4 linked regions of the Saccharomyces cerevisiae S288C genome follow. The protein of the gene in region 3 purifies or fractionates together with the protein of the main gene of each other region. This does not show direct contact. Each region holds a gene or a part of one and is shown on either strand. Other genes may lie near its edges. The genes, in order: ERB1, HAS1, SSF1 and NOG1.

Region 1 (6,801 bases), on a different chromosome or scaffold from region 3:
GAGGACGAGTTTTGGACGAACGTGGGAATAATGAAACGGTACTTAACAACGTTGTGCCGCCTAAGGAAGATTTGGATGCATTATTGAAGACATTCAGGGTACAAGGGCCCGTTGGCCTTGAAGAAAATGAGAAGAAGCTCTTATTAGGATGGCTAGATGCGCATAGAAAAATGGAAAAAGGCTCTATGACTGAAGAAGACGTTCAACTGATTCAAAGTTTGGAAGAGTGGGAAATGAATGATATAGAGGGACAACATACTCATTATGATTTATTGCCAGGGGGAGATGAGTTTGGCGTAGATCAAGATGAGTTGGATGCTATGAAGGAAATGGGCTTTTAGCAATGTCATTGAAGGTAATAATCCAAACGTGCGTGTGGGCATCTATACATATAGGTTTATATATATTGTGTAAATAAAGCTTGTAGAAAGAGCCTGGTTCGAGTGTTTGATTTTTTCTTCTTGGGCGTTATTATACAATATCTACTTCAAATTATTTATCTAGGTGGTCCATAAGCGAGCCGTATTATCAGCACCGGCAGAAAACAGCCAAGCTTCCCTCGGATGCCAAATAGCATCAAGAACACCCAGACTATTGATTACTTTATGACCGGTTAGTTTCTTTAGTGGCACAATCATCGGATTTTTCATCATGTCATCATAAACAGTGGCATGGAAAACATGTATGGTACCGTCATCAGCGGCAGAGCTGAATAGAGGTAACTTTTTGTGGAAATTCACACTTCTGACGGCTTTTTCATGATATCTTAGTGTCTTGTAAGGTGTGCTAGCCAAATCCAGGTCGTGCCATAAAACTCTCTTGTCAAACGATGACGCAATTAAATTATCACCCCTTGGGTGAATATCGATTTTCGATAACCAACGGGCACCAGGCAACAGTTTCTTGACCAATATTTGTTGAGATAAATCATAAATTCTGACATATCTTTGGGAACAGACAAATAATTGAGGTTTAAAAGGATGGAACTTCGCATCCATAATAATGCCCTTCGATTTTTTGAATGGGGATTGGGTTAAATGCTTGGAAACTTGGTGAATCAAAACAGAAGTGTTACCAGAGTCAGGTTGAACAGTGACAAAGTAATCACCTTTTCTATGCCATGAAAGCTTTTTTACTGTTTTTTTGCAAGAAATAGTGATACAAATATCCTTTTCTAGTTGCTTTTGAGAAGGCTTGTTCCATTGGGCTACTTGTTTTTTTACAGCATTCTTAGCAGATTCATTCTCTCCATCTTCATCGCCATCACCATTCTCGTTCACTTCTAGGTTAGATTTTTTAACAGTCCCAAAAGTATCGTAGCCAAAACCATCTTCAATCTTAGTTTTGCCGTTATTTTCAATATCGTAGCCGAATATTGGTGGTACTATTAAATGAATGTTTTCACCAACAGCAACGGCGAGAATACCATTATTAGCATCAGGATTCCATTCAATGCATTCAATGTGGTAATCTGGGTTTTCCTCGTCATCGATTAAAGTAGTTCTATAAACTTCTCTACCAGTTAAAATTTCCCATACCCTGACTGTTCCGTCATCAGATCCTGTTGCTAGCCATAATCCAGAAGGATCAATGGATAATGTGCGTACTTTTCCTTTGTGACCAGCGTATATTGTTGAGCAACGAATAGGGAAGGGTCTTAAATCCTTGGGAGAGGGAAGTTCTGGAATTAGAGAATTAGGATCAATATTCAATTTGTTTTTACGGACACGAGGAGCTAAATATAAATCCAAAGATCTTTCAAATCTTTCCCTAATAGATTCACCGTAACCAGGGACCTTTCTTAAGGCAGAATACTTTTGAGGTATGAAGTTTCTTTCTCTTTCACTATATTCAGTATTTTCCCAGGCCTCCTTTTCTTCAGGAGACAAAAGATACTCTTCTGGTGGATTATAACTCTCTTCATTAGTTGGTGGAGGTAATTTTGGTGCCCTTAGATGCATTACATGATCATTTGTTTCCGTAGAATCACCCCATAAATCGTATTGATAGTTTTCAATTTTTTCCTTTTCTTTCATTTCCTTTAATTTTTTAGGAGGAATAATACGGCCCTCTCTGATAGCTCTTACAATTTTCATAACTCTCTTGGCTTCGTTTTTGGATGGAACAAATCTTCTTTTTGGCTCCGGAACAGCAGTTAATGGCATCACTTCTTCGTGTCTCGTGAACCAATCGATTAACGGTTCGTATGGATTTATGCTATCATCAGTTTGTTCGTTCCTTTGGATTTTGGAAATAAGTTCTAATTCCTCTTTGGTTAAGTTCAAACTTGAACCGGAATTCTTGTCCAGTAAACCAGTCCAGCCTTCAGGTAGCTCGATAGAATCCAACAGTTGATCTAAAGCAGAACCCTTGGCAGGTCTCATAATCCTTTTACCGTTGATATCGTATCCAATGTGTGGCATTTCATCGTATGCAGAAAGTGGAATATTACCAATGGTATTTTGCGTTTCGGCATCACTATCATCGCTATCATAAACTGGATTAATTTCAGGTTTGATAATTCTATCACTGCCATCTGCATATTTTGAGTAAATATTCGGATCAACGATCGTTTGCAATTTCACACCCGATAATCTGTCTGTTAAGGAAGTTGTGTCGTCTGAAAACTCAGAACTGTCATAGTCCTCTTCCCCATCACCTTCTTCTTCGGCAAGCAGTTTGTTTAATTCAGCATCGGAGTCATCATCAGAATCATCTTGGGCTTCTTTATCAGAAGATGATTCCTTTTCTTCAACGGCAGACTCGTATTCGTCATCATCCTCGTCACTCTCACTTGCTTCCGCATCGATCAAACCGTCAACGGATAAAAGCTTGTCCTCATCTTCCTCGACATCAGATTCTTCGCTAGCTGCTCTCTTTTTCGACATCTTTGCCTCGGTAGTTTTGTTGTTCTTAGCCATCATTGACCTAGTTATGTTAGAACAGATTTAATACAGTACCTTTCTTCGCTAGGATCTATATGCGAATATATCACATATGTAAATTATAAGCTCATCGCAAAACCAAAAAAAAAAAAATTTTCAATAATTTTTCACTAATCTTCAAAAACAAATGGGGTAACCCGTACAAGAGTTATTAAAACCCAAAATGACAAAATCGCGACAATTCAATCCTACTTAATTAGCAATAACATACTAGCGGTAGAGCTACTATCACATGTTGAACCTTGAATGCTCAATTCATTGTACTCAATACTGCTATCAAAAGAAAAAAAATGTATTAATTATATTCTTGTCAAAATCAATTTTACACTATAAGAGGAAAATGTTCTTCAGTCCTAGTAACATTAGTTTTCTCCCTTTGCTAGAGACTTTACATAATATCCTAGAAGGTAAAATTCGATAATACAGCAGTAAAGTCGTATATTGGTAGCAATCCTTGGTGACGCTGACTTTTTTTTTTTGTAATTTTATTGTTTAGTTCATGATAAAAAACTTCAAATCACTTTTAATCTGGTAGACAGAGAAAACAAATCGAAACGAAAATAGAGAACTACGAATAAAAAAATATAAGTGGAGAAGATCGTCACTACGCATTAAACAATATTGATCGCTCAATGCCAGTACTGCGCGTAAAAGTTTAGTAACTTAACGATTTAGGCACAATTTGAGAAAAATTTCGCCCTGCAGTAAGTATGTTATTCAGTACGATATAAAGCTGAGGTTTTATGCTGGCAACGTTCAGATTTTTTAGGTTATCAGCAATGTTAAAATATTAAATAGGATACTTTTATTGTTTGAGACCACCCTCAATGCCAGATATGTTAAACGCTTTTTTCTGGAGTGAGGTATCATAGAAAAAGGCTCGAGTACATCAAGCACTTAAAGGTTCAACACTCTACTGTTACTTCTTTAAGCTAAGCTATTCATACATAATAGTCCATCAAAGTGGCTCAAATTGCGCATACAGTGTAAAAATGCGTTCAGGGAATAACGATGTCAAGCAGCGTGTGAAAATTGGACACGTTGAATAATAAACTTCCTGGAAACCGTCGCGCGCCACTGCTGTCAGAAAATAGTAGACTACTTAATTTTCAATTCATATTTAGCCTGCTTTTTGATCTATGAAATCGCCCACTCTAAATCAGCGGTGTTTTTGCACGGTTTGTAATTTTAACTTCATTATATGTATTATTCGGTGACTTCACTAAAAAAGAAGGATCTATGCAATATTCTTATCTTCTATTTTTTTTCTTTTCGATTTTTGAAGTTAAACCTTCGTAATGAACAGATTCGAACAGTATACAGCTGATGACAATTACATGTTAAACTTTCATTGATGATAATGGCACGCACTCCACCTGTTAAAGAGGCAGAACGAAGAACCTTTGCTTATAACATAGGTCAGTGTATACTGGATAATAGTATCGAATAACCAGCATAATATTTTCTCTGGAAATACCTTTAAGGGGTTTTTAGAAGAAAAACAAATCCTAGTGCAACTTGCAAGTCATCAAAAATAATCTATCTTATCTCTATATATATATTTGTGTATTTTATATTTTATGACAAAGCTAGAAATATAAAATCAGATACCGCAATAGAAGATATTTCAAATAATAATACCAATCTCATAGCTCAAAACAGGCACTAAGGGAATACTGAAGAAAGTAATGTCTAGGAGTTAGTATAGCTTGAAGTTGCCATCGGTGTCATTTAGGTAGATCTATCTAGATTACGCGCAGCCCTCAGAAAAGCAAGTGATTTCCGAAGTTTCAACCTACCCAGACTATTCACATAAGGTTAATTTATGATTGAACAGTTCAAATAAATCTGCGCCATTCATGAAGATGATTCGATACCGCAATATGCTGCTAAAGTGCTAAAAAAATGATTTCGCCCAGGATCGAACTGGGGACGTTCTGCGTGTTAAGCAGATGCCATAACCGACTAGACCACGAAACCAGGTTTTATTGAAAAATTGCATCTAAAATAACCTATACTAATAAATCTTCTAATAAATCTTCTAACTCTTCGCTGTTCTATGTGATATCGTTGATAGTTAGGTTTTCGTGTTGAAATAATCAATTACATTTATTGACTGGTTTAATATTAATATATTATCATATACAGTGTAAGAAGGTGAGATATATGTGGGTAATTAGATAATTGTTGGGATTCCATTGTTGATAAAGGCTATAATATTAGGTATACAGAATATACTAGAAGTTCTCCTCGAGGATATAGGAATCCTCAAAATGGAATCTATATTTCTACATACTAATATTACGATTATTCCTCATTCCGTTTTATATGTTTATATTCATTGATCCTATTACATTATCAATCCTTGCGTTTCAGCTTCCTCTAACATCGATGACAGCTTCTCATAACTTATGTCATCATCTTAACACCGTATATGATAATATATTGATAATATAACTATTAGTTGATAGACGATAGTGGATTTTTATTCCAACATACCACCCATAATGTAATAGATCTAATGAATCCATTTGTTTGTTAATAGTTTGAATGTTTTTATCGGAAGAGGTTTGGTCATTACGTCTGCAATATTCTTTTTGGTTTCGATATAGCATACGTGCAGATGATTTCCTGATACTTCATCTCTTAGTCTCATTGCTTTAGTACCAAAAAATCTGTTTCTAAATTTCTCTTCATTATTGGATATAATTATACTGATTGTAGATTTACTGTCGGTTAGTAATCCTTTAGTAATTGGTTTCTTGTTAAGTTCTTGCACAAGGTGACTGAGGTTATTTAATAATGGGACAGATTCACTTATCGCGTGTATTTCTGCTTCCGTAGTTGAAGTACATGTTAATGAAGCCTTGGTGGACTTTCCTCCAATTACTTTTCCATTAAGTAAATATATGTTGCCAATTTGTGATTTATAATACGGTTGGTTACCATACGATGCATCGCTTATAACAACTAATTTATTTGTTGGCTTAACAGGTTTGCTTTTGTGCCATATTAATTGCTTATCTCTCGTATTCCATATGAACTGTATCAATTCATATGTCATATCTAACACTTGCTTGGACGGAAATAGTATATGTTGTGCAAGTGTGTTGATGTAGTATAATAGGTCAAATCTAAATTTATATCCAACATATGATGCTAGACCTATCAGCTTTTGCATTTCATGTACCTTCATTTTGTAATCATCTTCTTCTAGCTCTAGTTCTTGCTGGTCTATATATAGACCTGGTTGACCTGGAGCGCTAAGTTTCCTTCCTTTTGGGTTCAAAGGTACGTTTAGTTTGGGTATTTTTTCAGTTAATGAGTTTTCCATACCTAATTTCATGTATTTACCTCTTTGATATTTGATTTCTAAGCCAAGTATGTCGTACTGAATTTCGTTATCACTTTCACCCAGATTTATTATCTTTGTATCGTATTGTTTCTTGAGTGTTGTTATGATTTTCTTATTTGCATTTAAGTCTTTGCTGAACAATATCATATCATCAACGAATAAGCAAATTGTTACTTGACTATTCTTAAATACGCATGACCATCCACGAACTTCTTCCATACCACACTGTTTTATCAGGTATGATTTGATAGTTTCGTACCAGTTCGCTCCACTTTGTTTCAATCCATAAAGTGATTTCTTCAAACGTATTAACTTATCATTCATTCCTAAATGTGGTGGAGGTCTTATGTATAGTTCTTCTTTGATGTCTGCATACAAATATGCCGAAGATATGTCTAATTGTGTAATATAGTAGTTATTGTCTAATGCAAGTGACAGGGATGTCATTAATGCATAGTGATGTACGGTATTGGATTGCATGCCTGGGTCGTAAGTGTCAGG
Region 2 (5,984 bases), on a different chromosome or scaffold from region 3:
TAGCTTTAAACTGTTCAGGTACAGGTCACGAAGATGCCTTCATTCATTTAATGAATCTTCTAATACCCAATATTTTTGAAACTTCACCACATGCTATTATGCGTATTTTAGAAGGTTTGGAGGCACTGAGTCAAGCTCTTGGCCCTGGACTATTCATGAACTACATATGGGCAGGATTGTTCCATCCAGCGAAGAATGTAAGGAAAGCATTTTGGAGGGTGTATAATAACATGTACGTAATGTACCAGGACGCCATGGTACCTTTTTACCCCGTTACACCAGACAACAATGAAGAATATATAGAAGAACTGGATTTAGTTCTGTGAATATATATAGAGCATATAAATAACCACAACTTGTAAGAATATTTTACTTGACACACCTATATCATCACGTCACGATGCCTTCATAGATTATGATGAAATATAAACAGAACCTGCTATTGGAAAAAAAAGGGCAGGAAAAAATTTTGTGAAAGTGAGTAAAAGAAAGATGAAGAGCGAGACATGGATAATAAGAAATAGATGTCACTAATGGACAATTGGAAGACTGATATGGAAAGTTACGATGAAGGAGGCCTAGTTGCTAATCCGAACTTCGAGGTTCTGGCCACTTTCAGGTACGACCCTGGTTTTGCACGCCAGTCAGCGTCAAAGAAAGAGATCTTTGAAACTCCAGACCCTCGATTAGGTTTGAGAGACGAAGATATTAGGCAGCAGATAATTAATGAGGATTACTCAAGTTATTTACGAGTAAGGGAGGTTAATTCCGGCGGTGACCTTCTCGAAAATATTCAGCATCCTGATGCTTGGAAGCATGATTGCAAGACCATTGTGTGCCAGCGTGTAGAAGATATGCTACAAGTCATTTATGAACGATTTTTTTTATTAGATGAACAATACCAAAGAATAAGAATAGCATTATCATACTTTAAAATTGACTTCAGCACGTCTCTGAATGATTTATTGAAGTTATTGGTTGAAAACTTGATTAATTGTAAAGAAGGAAATTCAGAGTATCACGAAAAAATTCAAAAAATGATCAACGAAAGGCAATGCTATAAAATGCGGGTACTTGTCTCTAAGACAGGAGATATACGAATTGAGGCAATTCCAATGCCTATGGAGCCTATCCTAAAATTAACAACCGATTATGACAGTGTTTCCACATACTTCATCAAAACGATGCTCAATGGATTTTTAATTGATAGCACAATAAATTGGGATGTTGTTGTTTCATCTGAACCATTGAACGCATCAGCTTTCACCAGTTTTAAAACCACTTCAAGAGATCATTACGCTAGGGCGAGAGTTCGCATGCAAACTGCTATAAATAACTTAAGAGGTTCAGAACCTACTTCTTCTGTCTCGCAATGCGAAATTTTATTTTCCAACAAATCTGGCCTGCTGATGGAAGGTTCAATAACAAACGTGGCTGTAATTCAAAAAGATCCTAACGGTTCTAAAAAGTATGTGACACCAAGATTAGCAACTGGATGTTTGTGCGGAACAATGCGTCATTATTTATTGCGGCTCGGCCTTATTGAAGAGGGAGATATAGATATAGGAAGCCTTACCGTTGGCAACGAAGTTTTGCTTTTCAATGGCGTCATGGGATGCATAAAGGGAACAGTGAAGACAAAATATTGAGCAGACGACAGATTTTCATATCAATGAAGTTTTTTTACAATAGTTTACAAATCATGATTTTACATACTCAAATATGTGCAGGTTGATACAGACAACGTACGTAGAAGACAACAAACAGAAAACAGCGGTTTATACATTTATTTAAATGACATACAGTGGAGAAGCAGAGAAAGGAAAAGGAGTGCGATGAGAACAGAAGATGAATACTTCGGTTGTGTTGGTTCCACGTACACATTAATAGCATTAAAAATTGATCCTCTGAAATTACTTATGAGTTTTACGTCTTTTGGTATTTGGCGTTTTTCCACTGGCACCAATTGTAATGTTAACCTTTGGAGGGACTGGAAAACCGTAAGACTTTGCTACTTTGGCTAAATCCAGCTTATCGATTTGATAGACAGTTTTCAAAGAGTGGGAAGCGTACGCTTGTAAATAAGATCTATAACCATCCTTGGCTGTTTGATGTAGATAATAGTTGGATTTAATTAATTTTTCTAATTGTGATTGAACGTTTGCAATTTTGTTTTCCGGGAATTCGTACTCATTTAATGGGACCTTGGAAGCCTTTAGATATCTTAAAAACCCTAATTCATTAGGTGTTAAAAACATTAAAGATTTACCCTTACCTTTAGTGCCTCTTGCGGTTCTTCCGACTCTATGAATATAATCTCTTGGATCATCAGGAGGGTCGAATTGAATGATCCAGTCCACAGCAGGGATATCTAGCCCTCTAGCTGCGACATCTGTACAAATCAAGATACCTCTTTCCGCATTACAGAATTCGAAAAATGTATTTGTTCTCTTTTGTTGTTTTTGCTTACCGTGTAATTCGAGGACTGGCAAATCAATATAGTTCAATAATTCAGCGTAATATTTCACAGAGTTACAAGATGATAAAAATACAATAATTTTCTTTTTTTGATTTCTTTTCAAGAAAGAAAATAACAACAAAAATCTCTTATCACTGTCACATACCACATAGCCTTGTTCTAATCCATCTGCGGTGGAGTTGTCGGTTTCAGGAACGACATTAATGAAAAGAGGGCCCGGTCTCAGCGAGATTCTAGCCAAATCCTCAACTTTGGTCGTTTGTGTAGCTGAAAATAACATGGATTGCCTATCTTCGTTTGGCAAGATCTTAATTATCTGCCTCATTTCATCTTCAAACCCAATTTCTAAGATTCTGTCCGCTTCATCGATAATCAAAGCCTTCAAGTTCTTGAATACAAATCCTTTTGTATTTTGTAAGTGATCCAATAATCTTCCAGGGGTAGCAATCAACATGTTAACACCTTTCATCAATTTTTCGGCTTCCTGTCTTCTATTTGCACCACCAATGACAATACCAAATGTCTGTGAATGGAATTCCATTAACTCTCTTGCCACTCCAAAAATCTGTAAAGCCAACTCTCTTGTAGGCGTAATGACAATTATACCGGTACCATTTCTTGGTTTGAATTTCAAAGAATGCAATAGTTCAATAGCAGGGATGAGAAACGCTAGAGTTTTACCAGAACCTGTCTTGGCAGCACCAAGAACATCCCTACCGGCCAAAAGAGGTGGGATAGTCCTTGCCTGAACAGAAGTCATAGTGGTAAATCCCATCTTTTCAATGGCCTTTAAAGTTGGCTGTGATAACTTTAGTTCTTCGAACTTTTCCACACAAGTAGTTTGTTCTCCCTCAGGTGCGGCATTGTTTTGTTTTGAAGTGCTCTTTTCATCTACTACAGGTTCTTCTGTAGATTCAGAATCTCTAGAACGTTTATTTGACGGGGTAGCCATACTTCTCCTGTTAATATTGCTCAGCTTATCTAATTATTATAGTATACAGTTATCCAATAGCTATGTACTCAAGTACCGTGTATACACTATAAAATCTCATCTCATCGCTAAAGCTAATATTGAAAAAAAAAAAAAAAAAAAAAAGAAAAAGCAAATAAAAAATTTTCAATTCGGGTAACGAAGAATCGACTCTCGCCGGGTAAACAATTCTTAGTCGTCATACACTCCTCTTTACGTTAAGAAAATAGAAGTAGCAGCGCTTTGTAAAGCATTAAAGCGTCATGGATTGCAAAATACACATAATATATCACTTGTGATAGTGAGAAATGGAATGAAGTGGTTTAAGATGCTCTTTTACCAATAAACATATTGCGCCTATCAAATCATTTTCCACCCCTGTTAACTGATACAGATATAGCCTTACATATAACTTTTGCACTCCCTAAAATTACCATGGCTGTTCACCGCCTGCTATCATCCATGTTTTTACATACATCTATTAGGTTTGCCATCTTAGCCGCCGAAGCTATCGTTGCCGGTACAGGCGCTCCTTGAATAACCCCCTCCCCCCCACGCTATTCTTCAAATTCCGATTTCAGCTTCTCTTTGTTTTTCCTTTTTTGGCACCTCGGAAAAACCTCCACGTGTTAGGTTATTCCGCCGATTCCACGGGTGGGGTGCTACCAAGACTCCTGAAAAAGAAACTGTATGACGAAAAGAAAAAAAAAAAGCTGCTTGAATTCCAACACCGCTTTCTTGTTCTGACAATAGAAAGGGGGATTCCTAAAAAAAGAAAAAGAGGGCGGGGTTTATCATGTACTCAGAATATGAAAACGTGTCGAACGGGGATGACTTCTTCTGCTTCTTTACTTCTTTCTATTTAGAGTGACAGTTTTTTTATTTGTTTTGCTAACTTGTTTATTTATTAATTTCTTGTTTGCTCCTTCAGTTACCTACCACGACTGTCTCAGCCAAACCGCGATATTTTCATACAATTGACATTACAACAGTTCAAAAAGAAAAATACACATCCAGGATATGACTACAGCTAGTTCTTCTGCTTCCCAGCTACAACAGCGCCTGCCGGAAGAAAAACCTTGGCCGCAACTGAGTGGCAGCAATGCAGACGCTCAAACCTTCAAATGTAAATACGTAACCAACCACAACTCCTTGGGCGATGGGAATTTTAGCGTCGTGAAAGAATGTATGAATATACACACAAAGGATTTGTACGCGATGAAGCTTATTAAGAAACAAACTGTCAAGAACAAAATTCAACTTATTCAAAGAGAGTTCGACCTTTTGAGGTCAATAAGCGAGAAAATCAGAGATATGGAAAAAAAGAATGAACATTCTTTGGACATTTTTGAGGGGCATCACCATATTTTACAACTTTTCGACTATTTTGAGACGGCAGATAACATTGTCCTGATCACTCAGCTGTGTCAGAAGGGAGATTTGTATGAAAAAATTGTTGAAAATCAGTGTTTAGACCTCGAAACTCAAGTTACCTCGTACTGCGCCTGTTTGGTGAGCGTTCTCGAGTTTTTGCATTCTCAAGGTATTGTTCATAGAGACTTGAAAGCAGAAAACGTCTTATTCAGATTGAGAGTGAACGAAAACGAAAAAAACCTACAGGGTGAACACCACGGAGATTTCAAATACGATCTCTTGGCACACGACCTAGTTCTCGCCGATTTTGGTCTTGCTGCTGAATATAACACAAGTAAGGTAAACTCGTTAAAGGAGTTTGTTGGAACCATCTCGTATATTGCTCCAGAAATCGTCAAGTGCAAAGGTGTCGGTGAAATGACTCCTGATCAAGTTGGCAAACTAGACAAGTATGGTTGTCCGGTGGATATATGGGCCCTTGGTGTACTGACATATTTCATGGCCTTCGGCTATACGCCCTTTGACTGTACCACAGACGACGAAACTCTGGAATGTATTTCAAAATGTGACTATTACGTCGACGAACAAATGATGCACGACCCTAAATACGAACAATTTTGGAATTTTGTTCAATGCTGTTTTACTATTGACCCGGCCGTTAGGCGTTCTGCTAAGAATTTGAAACAGCATCCCTTTATTAAGGATTATTTTGCTACTTCAAATTCTTTGAATACTAAGGACACGCCGAATTTCTCCTTTCATCCAACAATAAGAAGGGTATCTTCTACAGCGTCCATGCACACATTGAGGTCTCCTTCCAAATCAAGAAAGACAACTACTCTAGCGTATTTAAATATGGATGGCGGGTCCTCTGAAACTTCCACCGCCTTCAGCAGCAAGATGGATTTGCCTGACCTTTACGTTGATAGAACCATTAATTCTCGTGAAAGATCATTGAATAGAATTCGAGACACTCTGAAGAAAACATTATCCATGACATCTCTTAAGCCTGCAGGCACATTCGACTATCTTCACGCTAACAAAAACGGTACTTCTTTATCATCATCCAAGTCAGGCCTCGTGAAAAAGAATTCTACTTTTGTCTTGGACCCTAAGCCACCAAAGAATAGCTTGATGAACGGTTGTTTCAGCACCACTCCA
Region 3 (6,046 bases):
TTTATTTATCTCTATATTAAAACAAAACTTTTGCACTAAAAAAAGAAATAGTACAGATTCATTTTTTTTTTTTTCATCTCAAAATTCTCTCATCAATTCTTAACTTTTTTGATTGGTTTACCACTGGCAAAGGTAGCAGCAACAATCAATGGAAGAACAGTGGTGACATCAGCAAAAAGTTTGACGGATTTGGCTTCAGCCTTGATCTTACCCCAAGACACAGCTTCGTCAGGTCTTGCACCTGCATCAGAACCATCGTATTCTTGACCAGTGTTAATGTAAACGGCATAATCAGCACCATTTCTCATCAAACAAGCATTGGCAATGTGGTGCTTGATCAAACCACCACCCAAGATGATCATACCGGCTCTGTAAGCGGCCATGGACATTGAATTGATTTTGCGGATATCTCCTACAATGTCAACTCTTAGTTGTTTTGGAGATGCTTTAAAAGTATGGAAAAACAACATGTCACCGATTGAACCATCAGTCAAAGATGGACAAAAGATTGGAATTTTATTCTTGTGGGCCCAGTACAATACGGAGGATTCGTCGTTGATTTCCTTACCAAAACGATCTATCATCTTAGATGGGGTCCAGATTGGTGAATCCACGTCTTGGTTAGCCTCTAAACAGTCAGCGCCATGTTTCTTTACGTATTCATCTTGTTCTTCCAACATCTTATCCAAAATTGGGACAATCCATTCTTCAAACTTACAGTAGTTATCATTTGGAACAAGCAAGTTACCAATACGATTCATACCTTGGTCACGCAAAGATTTACCTTTCAAAGCAAATTCACCCAAGTAAGTTGGAGCAAGACATTTGATCAAATCTTCTTCCACACCACCAGCAGAAGTAACGACAGCATCAACCATTTTGTGTTGCACCAAATAACGTAAAGTTTCACGTACACCGGAACTGATCAAGTTAGAAGTATAACCCATGAAGATAGTAGTCTTTTGGTACCCTTCCTCATCGAAGCAACCTTTCTTTTCATGGTCATCCAATTCGTCAATATGCTTACCTCTCCATGATCTCATACTATCAATAATCTCACAGGCAGTACCAACAGAACTAGCTTGGAAACCCATGGTCTTCATAGCTTCAATTAAATCAGTTGCTCTCATATTAGTGGCTTCAGGCTTTGAGTAATCAATACCTTGAACCTTAACGAAGTCATCTGGAATAGGAACAGATGCTTTCAAGACAGCGTCTTGTAGTAACTCTGGGAGTTTTTCGTTGATATCGGACATCTTTTTTGCTTTGACTTGTATATAAGTTAACTAAGCAAAACACGACTTTACTCTGCAGTTAGATACAAAACTGATAGAGGGAAGTACTTTGCGTCAAAATGGAAATATACATTACATTTAATTTTTCACTTTACTTTTTATTTTTTTTTCCCACCTTTTTTTCAGTTCTTCCCGTAATGCGTTTACCGTCAACCTGGTGATGGCGAGATATTATGGTAATCTCGTTCGTGACCTTCCACTGTTCAGCAGCTACTAGTATTATTTCAAGAGACAAGAAACACACAGGTAGTGATTATCTGCAGAGAGACAATTACTGGTAGTCAACAGAAAACATCAGCTTTCATGTAGACTAAGTTGGCTTTCTGGAGGTCCCTAATTTGAAATGTGTACATTCCGCTCGAAGAGCTTAAAGACTGACATATGCTCAAAGTAGTGTTTGGATATATATAATTCAAATTGCGGTATCGCAACTGTCTGATTGGTTGTTCGAGAAAAGGTTGGATGCATTTCTGTAGTAATTGGACCGAGAAGGGTCCTTGCATGATAATATCGTCGTAGCCTTCAACATAGCGACTGTACTCTTTGTCCCAATGAATTCGGTGCGGATTCAAAGACATCTGACCATAAGCTACAATATCCATATCAGTAACAGTAAAATTTTTTAAGATCTTATAGTTCTCCTCTCCTACGGGCATCTTGACTGCAGTCTTGTTTGCGGGTGAATTGGTGTACATTAATACCCTTCTCTCGAATAAGCAAATGTCCATTGGACTCGACACATTTTCGGGCCTTTCTTGTAAAAGGGTTCTTTCAATACAGACAACATGTTCATCTCGTATTTTTTTTACGTATTTGATTGATTCGTGGCATGTATACTCCTGGTCTAAGGTGACTGGTAAATACTGAACAAGCTCTCCTTGTCCCCAAATCCTTCTACGGTAGCGTAAATCAGGGTTTCCTAGCAAACTTGCAGGATTTTGATAGTTAAAATAACCATCTCTATCCAATTTTTCGAATGATGGTGGGAAGAACAGGAAATGTTCTCCCAGTTGAAGATGCTTCGTTGCCTTTGATACAGGGAGTCTCCTACAAAGTAAACTATCAAACGCTTTGGTTCGGTGACTAGATAAGACATCCCTGAAAATCCACGTTTTGGATTTCATGCTGATAAGCTGTCTTTAGATAAGTGGACGATTGCCCACCTTCAATGTACCAGCCACGCTCATGTATCGAAACAGTAGCTTAAAATGGCGTAAAAAAGGTAAGATCGAATTTTTTTTCACATGCCTTCTGAGATCTACGTTTCCTTTGGGCTATGATTTAAAAGACAAAGAGTTTATATGTATCAAGTATGCAATTTATCTAAAGTGAAGAAGTATACGTGCGTTGGTGGATAGCCAGGCTTAACTAAAATTTTCTTGGTACCGGAGAACAATTTATTCGACCTCACTAAATAAGTCACTATCTAGATCCTCTGGTACGCTACCATAATGTTCGCTGTCACTTGATGAAGACTCATCATCGCTCATCGCATCATCTTTTCCTTGACCTTCACCTCCTTCTGCTGCTCTAGCTTTTCTTCTTTCCAATTTACGTTGCTTTTTAGCGTCTTTAACAGCCTTCTTTTTAGCAATGTTTTCTTCTTGTTCCTTCTTTCTTTGTTCCTTCAGCCTCATTTTTGCAGCGTGTCTCTTTTCTAAAGCTTTGATTTCTTCGCTTGATTTTTGAACAAATTCATGATGTAACACTTTACCTGAACAAATACCTTCTTCTATCTTGACCAGTTTTAAAGTTAATCTTGGTCCTAATTCAGTTAGTTTGATAGCTTTCTTACGTGGGGTTGGTTGCAAGTTTTCTGAAGGCTTAGGTTCCTCCATTTCCACATCTTCTTCTTCTGTTTCTTTTTCACGCTCTTTATTATCCTTCTTTTCGACCGGTGTTCTTTGGGACTTCAAACTTTGAGAATGCTTTGCCTTCACGTCCTGATTATCAACTACTCTCACGATAGCGTCATCTTCAATTTCAGATTCTGATGTATAGGCGCCTAAGTCGTGATCTAATATCAAAGAAGAAATATCTTCTTTTCGATGCAAATTCGGCACTGTTTTACTTAGATTATTTTTGGCTTTATAAAGCCTTTTTAGGTTTCTAGAGATCTCTACTTCTCGAATGTCAATAAAATAGTGGCGCATAGAAATTTCCCCTGTTTCCCTGTCTTTATTGATCATAAATACACGTTTGATAGAATTCAAAGAAGTTCTCGCAGGATTCAGAGGTGGGAAAATATTCTGAAACATAGAAACAATGACCTTCTCCACGTTTACATCCTGGTCGTCTTCACCAGATCTTTTGGATGTGGAAAACCCGTTTAGCACTAGCAATGGAGGATTTAATACATCATCATTATTCAACGATTTAGGTCTCTTCAAAAATTTTTTGATATCTCTACCCAGAGAATAGTCCAATACTTGAAAAGTAACAGTAGGACCTTGCGGAGTTCTAGCTATCTTTAGGGAGACATTTCCTGTTTTTTCAGATTGAGTGAACATAAAAAGATGCGTAACACCTAATGGGCCACACATAACAACGAAATCCTTCAGTTTATTGGACTTGCGCTCTTTCAATTTTATAGCCGTATGTGGTTGCATGATTTGGCGGAAGTCCTTTACTAATTGGTTCAGAGAATGGTTGGCCAAAGAAGTTTGACCCACTCTGATTACCATTGACTTAGGTATACCTTGTTCCTGCTCAGGTGTAAGCTGTGCATGTGTTCTTTTCTTTTGTCTTCTCTTGGCCATCTTGAAATTTTATTGTCTGCTATATCTGGATTATACTCTTTTATTATTAAACATACTACTCACTCAAACCCAGATATCGAACTAATATCGCGATGAGATGAGCTTCTTCGTCTACTTTTTTTTTTTTTTTTTTTTCAGTGAAAAATTTCAATTTCGTCTAAGGCGATAAAAATGAAAAATTTAAAATTAATCAATGAGCATTTAGCAATTGTACATGGTATACACAGAATTGTGACATATCTTAGAAGCAATATATACCAAGATTCTGTTAAGTACTTCACTGAATCAGCTATAAAAATGTCCAAAATTGTTAAGAGAAAGGAAAAGAAGGCTAACGATGAATTAACTTCTTTAGCAGAAAAGATTAGAGCAAAAGCTTTGGAAAATCAAAAGAAGCTTATAGAAGCAGAAAAGGAAGGTGGTTCAGAGTCCGATTCTGAAGAAGATGCTACTGCTGAAAAGAAAAAGGTTTTGAAATCAAAAAGCAAATCCACAGTATCAACCCAAAATGAAAATACTAATGAAGATGAATCTTTTGAATCCTTTAGCGAACTGAATCTGGTCCCCGAATTAATTCAAGCTTGTAAGAACTTAAATTATTCCAAACCCACTCCCATTCAATCTAAGGCAATTCCTCCCGCGTTAGAAGGTCACGATATAATTGGACTTGCGCAAACAGGTTCTGGTAAAACTGCTGCATTTGCTATTCCCATTTTGAATCGGTTATGGCATGATCAGGAACCATACTATGCGTGCATTCTAGCTCCAACAAGAGAATTAGCACAACAGATCAAAGAAACATTTGACTCATTAGGATCCTTAATGGGCGTGAGATCGACATGTATTGTGGGTGGTATGAATATGATGGACCAGGCCAGAGACCTGATGAGAAAGCCACATATTATCATTGCTACACCTGGTAGATTAATGGACCATTTAGAGAATACCAAAGGGTTTTCACTGAGGAAACTGAAATTCTTGGTTATGGATGAAGCTGATAGATTATTAGACATGGAATTTGGACCTGTTCTTGATAGAATTTTAAAGATCATCCCAACCCAAGAAAGAACCACTTATCTTTTTTCCGCTACTATGACTTCCAAAATTGATAAATTACAAAGAGCAAGTTTGACAAATCCTGTGAAATGTGCCGTGTCAAACAAATACCAAACCGTAGATACATTAGTGCAAACACTGATGGTCGTTCCAGGTGGTCTTAAGAACACATACCTAATTTATTTATTAAATGAATTTATTGGAAAGACGATGATCATTTTTACAAGAACCAAGGCCAACGCGGAAAGGTTGTCAGGATTATGTAATTTGCTCGAGTTTAGTGCCACTGCGCTACATGGTGATTTGAATCAAAACCAGAGAATGGGATCTTTGGATCTTTTCAAGGCAGGTAAGAGGTCTATTCTCGTGGCTACAGATGTCGCTGCGAGAGGGTTGGATATTCCATCAGTGGACATAGTTGTAAACTACGATATTCCTGTGGATTCCAAGTCCTACATTCATCGTGTGGGAAGAACCGCAAGAGCTGGTAGATCAGGAAAATCTATCTCACTAGTATCACAATACGATCTGGAATTGATCTTAAGAATTGAAGAAGTTTTAGGTAAAAAACTACCGAAGGAAAGTGTGGACAAGAACATTATATTGACCCTAAGAGATTCCGTCGATAAGGCTAATGGGGAAGTTGTAATGGAAATGAACAGAAGAAACAAGGAGAAGATTGCCAGAGGTAAGGGAAGAAGAGGAAGAATGATGACAAGAGAGAATATGGACATGGGAGAAAGGTAGGCTTTGTAAGCATGGTTTACCTTTTAACGCCCAAAAGTTCAATTTAACTTAGAAATATTTATCTATATGTTCATATATACATCTATCAATATCACATAAAATTGCCTATCATTTCTTATTCGTTTCCTATTTGTTTCTCGAGCCATTCATAACTCATTCCGCGTAATGGGAGCGGTAAAAGATGTGCAA
Region 4 (6,212 bases), on a different chromosome or scaffold from region 3:
ATTGGAAAGCACAGCGTGGGGAGGATGGTAAATAGAGAAATAAAAGAACAGATTATTATGTGTAAGGAATTTTATCTAAGAACATATTTATAAAACTAACTCATCAAAGCTGCCCAAGAACTCGGCAGCTTGCTTTGTTAACCAGGAATTACTTTCATTGTCGAGATAAGCCAAATGTCCACCCAAGTCAGTCTCGCATAACAACACACAAGGATTTTCTCTAGCTTGTTTGTACGGAATTACGTTTTCACCTGTAACTGGATCATCCGTTGCGTTGATTATTAAAGTTGGGATTTTGATATTAGGCAATCTATTTATCGAACTGGCCTTTCTATAATATGTTAACCCGTCCGGCAGGCCCATCGATGGGGCAGTGAAAAGATTATCGAATTCTAATATGTCTGTAAATTTTTCAGCCTTTTCCAAATTTTCTCTGGTATACGTATAAAAGACTGGTTTCTCAACTGTCGGTTTGTGCGAAACCTCAAAATTCTCTGGTACCTGCAACTCATTCATATTAACCTTGACAGTCCTTGTTAGAAATTGTGTTAAAGTTCTAGAAAAAATATGGTTGGACCACCAATCATGAGCCAACTTGTCCCAAGTGTGTACGAAATCCCATGGGTTTGAGAGAGCGACTGCAGCATTTAATGGACAGTTATCTCCTTCTTCACCTAAGTAGTTCGTTAGCATGGCTGCTCCAAATGATGTTCCGACTGCATATATTTTTCTTTGCGGAAATAGAGCTTTTTGGTGGTTCAAAAATTCTCTCACATCACCTGTGTGTAATGCGGTAAAGATTCTACGGGTGGTGACTTTAGATCTTGAGCAACCTCTAGCATTAAGGACTACCACTTGGAATTTACCGTCACCGACTTTTGATAGATCTTCAGATAATGCCCTGATGAGAGGCTCATGGCTTCCCCCTGCAAGACCATGAAGTACTACCACTAAAGGGTAAGAATAACCCTTAGAATGACATTTTTCAAGTTCCTCAGAGGATAGATATCTAGTTCTCGGGTGAAGACGAGGCCAACCCTTTGGATGGGTGGCCTTTTCATCGTTCGAAAATTGTTTCTCGTTAAAACTAGCCTTTTCAGCATTTAATGAATATGTTTGCTCCCATTCAGGCATAACCCAATCTGCAGTGCAGACCCCTCCATCAGAAAATTTTATAATCTCTCTTCCATAAAATACCTGAAATTTTTTGGAAAAATCACCGGCTGACAAATAAAGGGTCTGTAAGTAACCTGTGAAAAGCAAGCTGTTTAACCTAAAATTTGCACCATCTTTGAGTGTAGGCACGTGTTTGGTTACGAATTCATGAAGAGGAATTTGGCGCTTAGAATCTCTGAAAGCCAAAGACTTGGTTCCTTTCTCTCCCAGTACATGTTTGACGGTGCCGTTATAGCCCCAATGGCTAGGAGTGACAGTTGGATAGTAACCCGAGCGAAACATTAAAATGACAAATATGAAAATACTTGATATCTTGATCTTTTTGCTAATCTTCAAAAATACCGAAAACTAAGTAGGCAACCAGATGCAGAACCCTTCTTATATAATCGATTCCTGTAAGCAAGTGTCAGCAAATAGCTTCTATATAGAGACCTTTCGGTGAAAGTATATTAAAGCCGGCCGGAAATTGAGTAATAATAACCGCTAATTATGCGGTGTGTGGATTCAGATTTTTGCCAGGAGCGATAACCTTCAAATCTAAAACTACTCACTATAAGCGATGAAGCAACCAGATGGTAGCGCTTTGGTGCCGGTTCTCTTGAAGGTTTGTACATGTGCGAGTTCATGAGGTTACAATATAGAAGGTTTATACAGTAGAGCTATACAGGATAATGGAAGTTCAGTTTTGTTCGGCTTTTTCATTGATGGCTTTCTTCTTATTGCTTTCTCTCTTGGCTTGTTTCTTCTTCATTCTTTTCAGTTTCTTTTTGTAACTATAAGTATCCTTCTCACCAAAACCGTAAAGTGGCTTAAAACTCTCTAGTACACCGCAATCTTCGAACAGGTTGGGAAAGATCCAGAACCCACCAACATCTTTGTAGACAATTAATGACAAAACATATAATATCAATCTCAGGATAGCGACAGCAAAGAAGCCTGCTAAGATGCCGAAGGCACCCAGAGACACATAATAGGAGCCGCGTCTCATGGAGCGCGGCCACAATGGGTAGCATACGAGCGCCAATATGATGGACACGACACCAATGACGATCAAGTAATCCATGTAGGTTCTAGGGTTATAGTTCCAAACAAAGTATTCATCGGCTTCCAATTGTGCTTTATTCGAAACAATCAAGTGCGGAAAGTCCTTGCTTGGCTTCAATCCATGCTCTTTGCATTCTTGACTATGCAATTTTTTCACTGGGATCACCATTTGTGCCTTTATAAGTTGAATAAAGATTTCACGTGACTTAAGCTGGTCTTCGATCTTGTTAGAAGGTATAGTTGGATATATCTCTGGCTGTCTTGCAGATTTGTTGGCATACTCCTCAGAATGCAGTGCCCTAACAAATCTCTTGTAACGGAAGAAGTCTGTCTGCTTGGCCTGGAATAAACCCTGCCTTTGCTTCAACTCCTTATGGTTGCGTAAAAGAGTAGCAATGGCTGTAGCAGATCCGCCATTGACACTAGCACCTGCATTGCTACCTGGACCTACGGCTGACATGTTCTCCTGTGTTTGCTCGGCTACCATACTGCATTCAACTGCAATTATAAAAGCCCACTCTTCTCCCTCTTGATTTGTATGCCAGTATTGGGAAAACGACACGTCTATTCCGTCGCACACGATCTTCACTTTCTTTTTTTTTTTCAACTGAACGAAAAGTTTTTTCCGCAGCTCATCGCAAAGAAAAATTTTCACCTATGTACTACCTCATCTAATACAATATAAAGAATACACTTCAGATTTAGGAGTTGCAGCGTTTATAAAAAAGTAAGTGTACCCTCCAAAAGCAAACACATCTCCCTCCTATACCGAAGATGCAACTTTCATGGAAGGATATCCCTACTGTCGCTCCAGCAAATGATTTGCTGGATATTGTCTTGAACAGAACCCAGAGAAAGACACCAACTGTGATCAGACCTGGTTTCAAGATTACAAGAATCAGAGCGTTCTATATGCGTAAAGTTAAATACACAGGTGAAGGTTTCGTGGAAAAATTTGAGGACATTTTAAAGGGTTTTCCTAACATCAATGACGTGCATCCTTTCCATAGAGATTTGATGGACACCCTATACGAAAAGAATCATTACAAGATATCTTTGGCAGCTATATCTCGTGCGAAGTCCCTTGTGGAACAAGTCGCCAGAGATTATGTCAGATTGCTAAAATTCGGTCAATCTTTATTTCAATGTAAACAATTGAAAAGGGCCGCTTTAGGTAGAATGGCAACTATAGTCAAGAAATTGAGGGACCCATTGGCCTATTTGGAACAAGTCAGACAGCACATTGGTAGATTACCATCGATCGACCCAAATACCAGAACCTTGCTGATCTGTGGTTATCCAAATGTCGGTAAGTCCTCGTTTTTGAGATGCATTACCAAATCAGACGTCGATGTTCAACCATATGCTTTCACAACCAAGAGTTTATACGTTGGTCATTTTGACTACAAATACTTGAGATTTCAAGCTATTGACACCCCTGGTATCCTAGATAGACCCACTGAAGAAATGAACAACATTGAAATGCAATCGATTTATGCCATTGCCCATTTACGTTCTTGTGTTTTGTACTTCATGGATCTTTCCGAACAATGTGGTTTCACCATCGAAGCTCAAGTTAAACTATTCCACTCCATCAAGCCTCTATTCGCCAACAAGTCTGTCATGGTTGTTATCAACAAAACCGACATTATCAGACCGGAGGATTTAGACGAAGAGCGTGCACAATTACTGGAATCTGTTAAGGAGGTTCCAGGTGTTGAAATCATGACTTCTTCATGCCAACTGGAAGAAAACGTTATGGAAGTTAGAAACAAAGCATGTGAAAAACTATTGGCTTCTAGAATTGAGAATAAGTTGAAATCTCAGTCTAGAATCAACAATGTTCTGAACAAGATTCATGTTGCTCAACCTCAAGCAAGAGATGATGTCAAGAGAACACCATTTATCCCAGAATCTGTCAAGAATTTGAAGAAATACGACCCTGAAGATCCAAACAGGAGAAAGTTGGCCAGAGACATCGAAGCTGAAAATGGTGGTGCTGGTGTCTTCAATGTTAACTTGAAGGACAAGTACCTATTAGAAGATGATGAGTGGAAGAATGACATCATGCCAGAAATCTTGGATGGTAAGAATGTTTATGATTTCTTGGACCCTGAAATCGCTGCTAAACTGCAGGCTCTTGAAGAAGAAGAAGAAAAATTGGAGAACGAAGGGTTCTACAATTCTGACGATGAGGAAGAAATCTACGACGGTTTCGAAGCATCCGAAGTAGATGATATCAAGGAGAAAGCTGCATGGATTAGAAATAGACAAAAGACGATGATTGCTGAAGCAAGAAATAGGAAGTCCTTGAAGAACAAAGCTATCATGCCACGTTCTAAACTAACTAAGTCCTTTGGTAAAATGGAAGAACACATGTCCACTTTGGGCCATGACATGTCAGCCTTACAAGATAAACAGAACCGTGCTGCTCGTAAGAACCGTTATGTTGAAAGAGGTTCTGATGTTGTTTTTGGCGACCAAGATGCTTTGACAGCTTCCACTGAAAACGGTGTCAAGTTGAGACAAACCGATAGACTGTTGGATGGTGTTGCTGATGGCTCCATGAGATCCAAGGCCGACAGGATGGCCAAGATGGAAAGAAGAGAAAGAAATAGACATGCCAAGCAAGGTGAATCTGATAGACACAATGCTGTTTCCTTATCAAAGCATTTATTCAGTGGTAAGCGTGGTGTCGGTAAGACAGATTTCCGTTGATTTCTCTACTTCTTATTCTTTCTTTTGCATGTACTTTAAAAAAAATATGAATATAAAATGTGGATGTACGTACACGACATTCTAATCTTTTTGGGCTGGTAGGATTACCATTTACATTTGATTATCTCTCTCACTATTAGTGGTTTCTTTTTCTTTCTTTCTCACTTTTTCTGTATCTTTTTTTTAAAAAAATTTTATTTAATCTGTATAATAATAATAAACCGATTTAAATTATCCAACAAGCCGACCCCTCCATGTTCTACTATTTTTTTGTATGTCACTGGATGTATACAAATAATTAAGCATGTGGAAAAAGAAGGGGTGGGATAGCGTCAAGATGACACTTCTACTTTTTTGTGACACATCATCATGCAACCTATCGAGTCTCCCACGAGGTTGACAAATAAGAAATTGTTATCGTTTTTGCAGTGTATCGTATAAGGCAACAATAGCGATGTCTCCCATCAATTGACTGATAAATTCCTGCAAACTATCATTTTTTTTTTTTCATCCTTGTGCCGCGTCTGTAGCCGAAAATCTGAGAGTGCATGAATCTTAAAAAACAGAAGACTCATCGCCGTCTTTGGCACATTGGGGTTGTCTTTGACTTCTTTTGCTTATTTTTGCTCACTTTGCTTATTTTACCTATTTAACTAGAGGTTCTAAAAGAATAGCCAACCAGCGTGTAGTTCTTATTTCTAATCCTTGTCTTGTTAAGTTGAAACTTGTGATATTGGCTGAACAAATTCTCCGCATTTAGACAACACACAAATTACAGCTTTCCCCTAGTAACGATTGTTGATTGAGCTCAGACAATACGCGCAATTTAAAAACGTTTTATAGTGTAAGAGAAGACAAGTACAAGAAAAAAATGGTTGCCAATTGGGTACTTGCTCTTACGAGGCAGTTTGACCCCTTCATGTTTATGATGGTCATGGGTGTCGGCATTTCATCGAATATTCTATATAGCTTCCCATATCCTGCAAGGTGGCTAAGAATATGCTCCTACATCATGTTTGCTATCGCTTGCCTTATTTTCATTGCTGTGCAGGCACTACAAATATTACATTTGATTGTCTATATTAAGGAGAAAAGCTTCAGAGAATATTTTAATGACTTTTTCAGAAATATGAAGCACAATTTATTTTGGGGTACTTATCCCATGGGGTTAGTTACAATTATAAATTTCTTAGGAGCACTCTCGAAAGCGAACACGACGAAGAGCCCCACTAATGCCAGAAATTTGATGATATTTGTTTACGTCTTGTGGTGGT

The links.
Region 1: the proteins of SSF1 (region 3) and ERB1 purify together in Saccharomyces cerevisiae (affinity purification with mass spectrometry; 5 studies listed by BioGRID, with this or other methods). This does not show direct contact.
Region 2: the proteins of SSF1 (region 3) and HAS1 purify together in Saccharomyces cerevisiae (affinity purification with mass spectrometry; 9 studies listed by BioGRID, with this or other methods). This does not show direct contact.
Region 4: the proteins of SSF1 (region 3) and NOG1 purify together in Saccharomyces cerevisiae (affinity purification with western blotting; 13 studies listed by BioGRID, with this or other methods). This does not show direct contact.

Annotation. Positions count from the first base shown.
Region 1 is NC_001145.3:367,594-374,394, forward strand, and holds ERB1 (ribosome biogenesis protein ERB1), read right to left. Parts: upstream 2,925-6,801; coding exon 501-2,924; downstream 1-500. Other genes in the region: CSM3 (Csm3p), read left to right, coding at 1-341.
Region 2 is NC_001145.3:848,161-854,144, forward strand, and holds HAS1 (ATP-dependent RNA helicase HAS1), read right to left. Parts: upstream 3,432-5,984; coding exon 1,914-3,431; downstream 1-1,913. Other genes in the region: U2 snRNP complex subunit HSH155, read left to right, coding at 1-326; aminodeoxychorismate lyase ABZ2, read left to right, coding at 525-1,649; protein kinase TDA1, read left to right, coding at 4,470-5,984. UniProt on the Saccharomyces cerevisiae protein: ATP-dependent RNA helicase involved in 40S ribosomal subunit biogenesis. Required for the processing and cleavage of 35S pre-rRNA at sites A0, A1, and A2, leading to mature 18S rRNA.
Region 3 is NC_001140.6:227,343-233,388, reverse strand, and holds SSF1 (rRNA-binding ribosome biosynthesis protein), read right to left. Parts: upstream 4,055-6,046; coding exon 2,693-4,054; downstream 1-2,692. Other genes in the region: DYS1 (deoxyhypusine synthase), read right to left, coding at 93-1,256; hydroxyacyl-thioester dehydratase HTD2, read right to left, coding at 1,577-2,419; RNA-dependent ATPase RRP3, read left to right, coding at 4,352-5,857. UniProt on the Saccharomyces cerevisiae protein: Required for biogenesis of the 60S ribosomal subunit.
Region 4 is NC_001148.4:367,984-374,195, forward strand, and holds NOG1 (putative GTPase NOG1), read left to right. Parts: upstream 1-2,994; coding exon 2,995-4,938; downstream 4,939-6,212. Other genes in the region: PNG1 (peptide-N4-(N-acetyl-beta-glucosaminyl)asparagine amidase), read left to right, coding at 1-35; EEB1 (medium-chain fatty acid ethyl ester synthase/esterase), read right to left, coding at 88-1,458; Sec63 complex subunit SEC62, read right to left, coding at 1,856-2,680; SSU1 (Ssu1p), read left to right, coding at 5,810-6,212. UniProt on the Saccharomyces cerevisiae protein: Involved in the biogenesis of the 60S ribosomal subunit.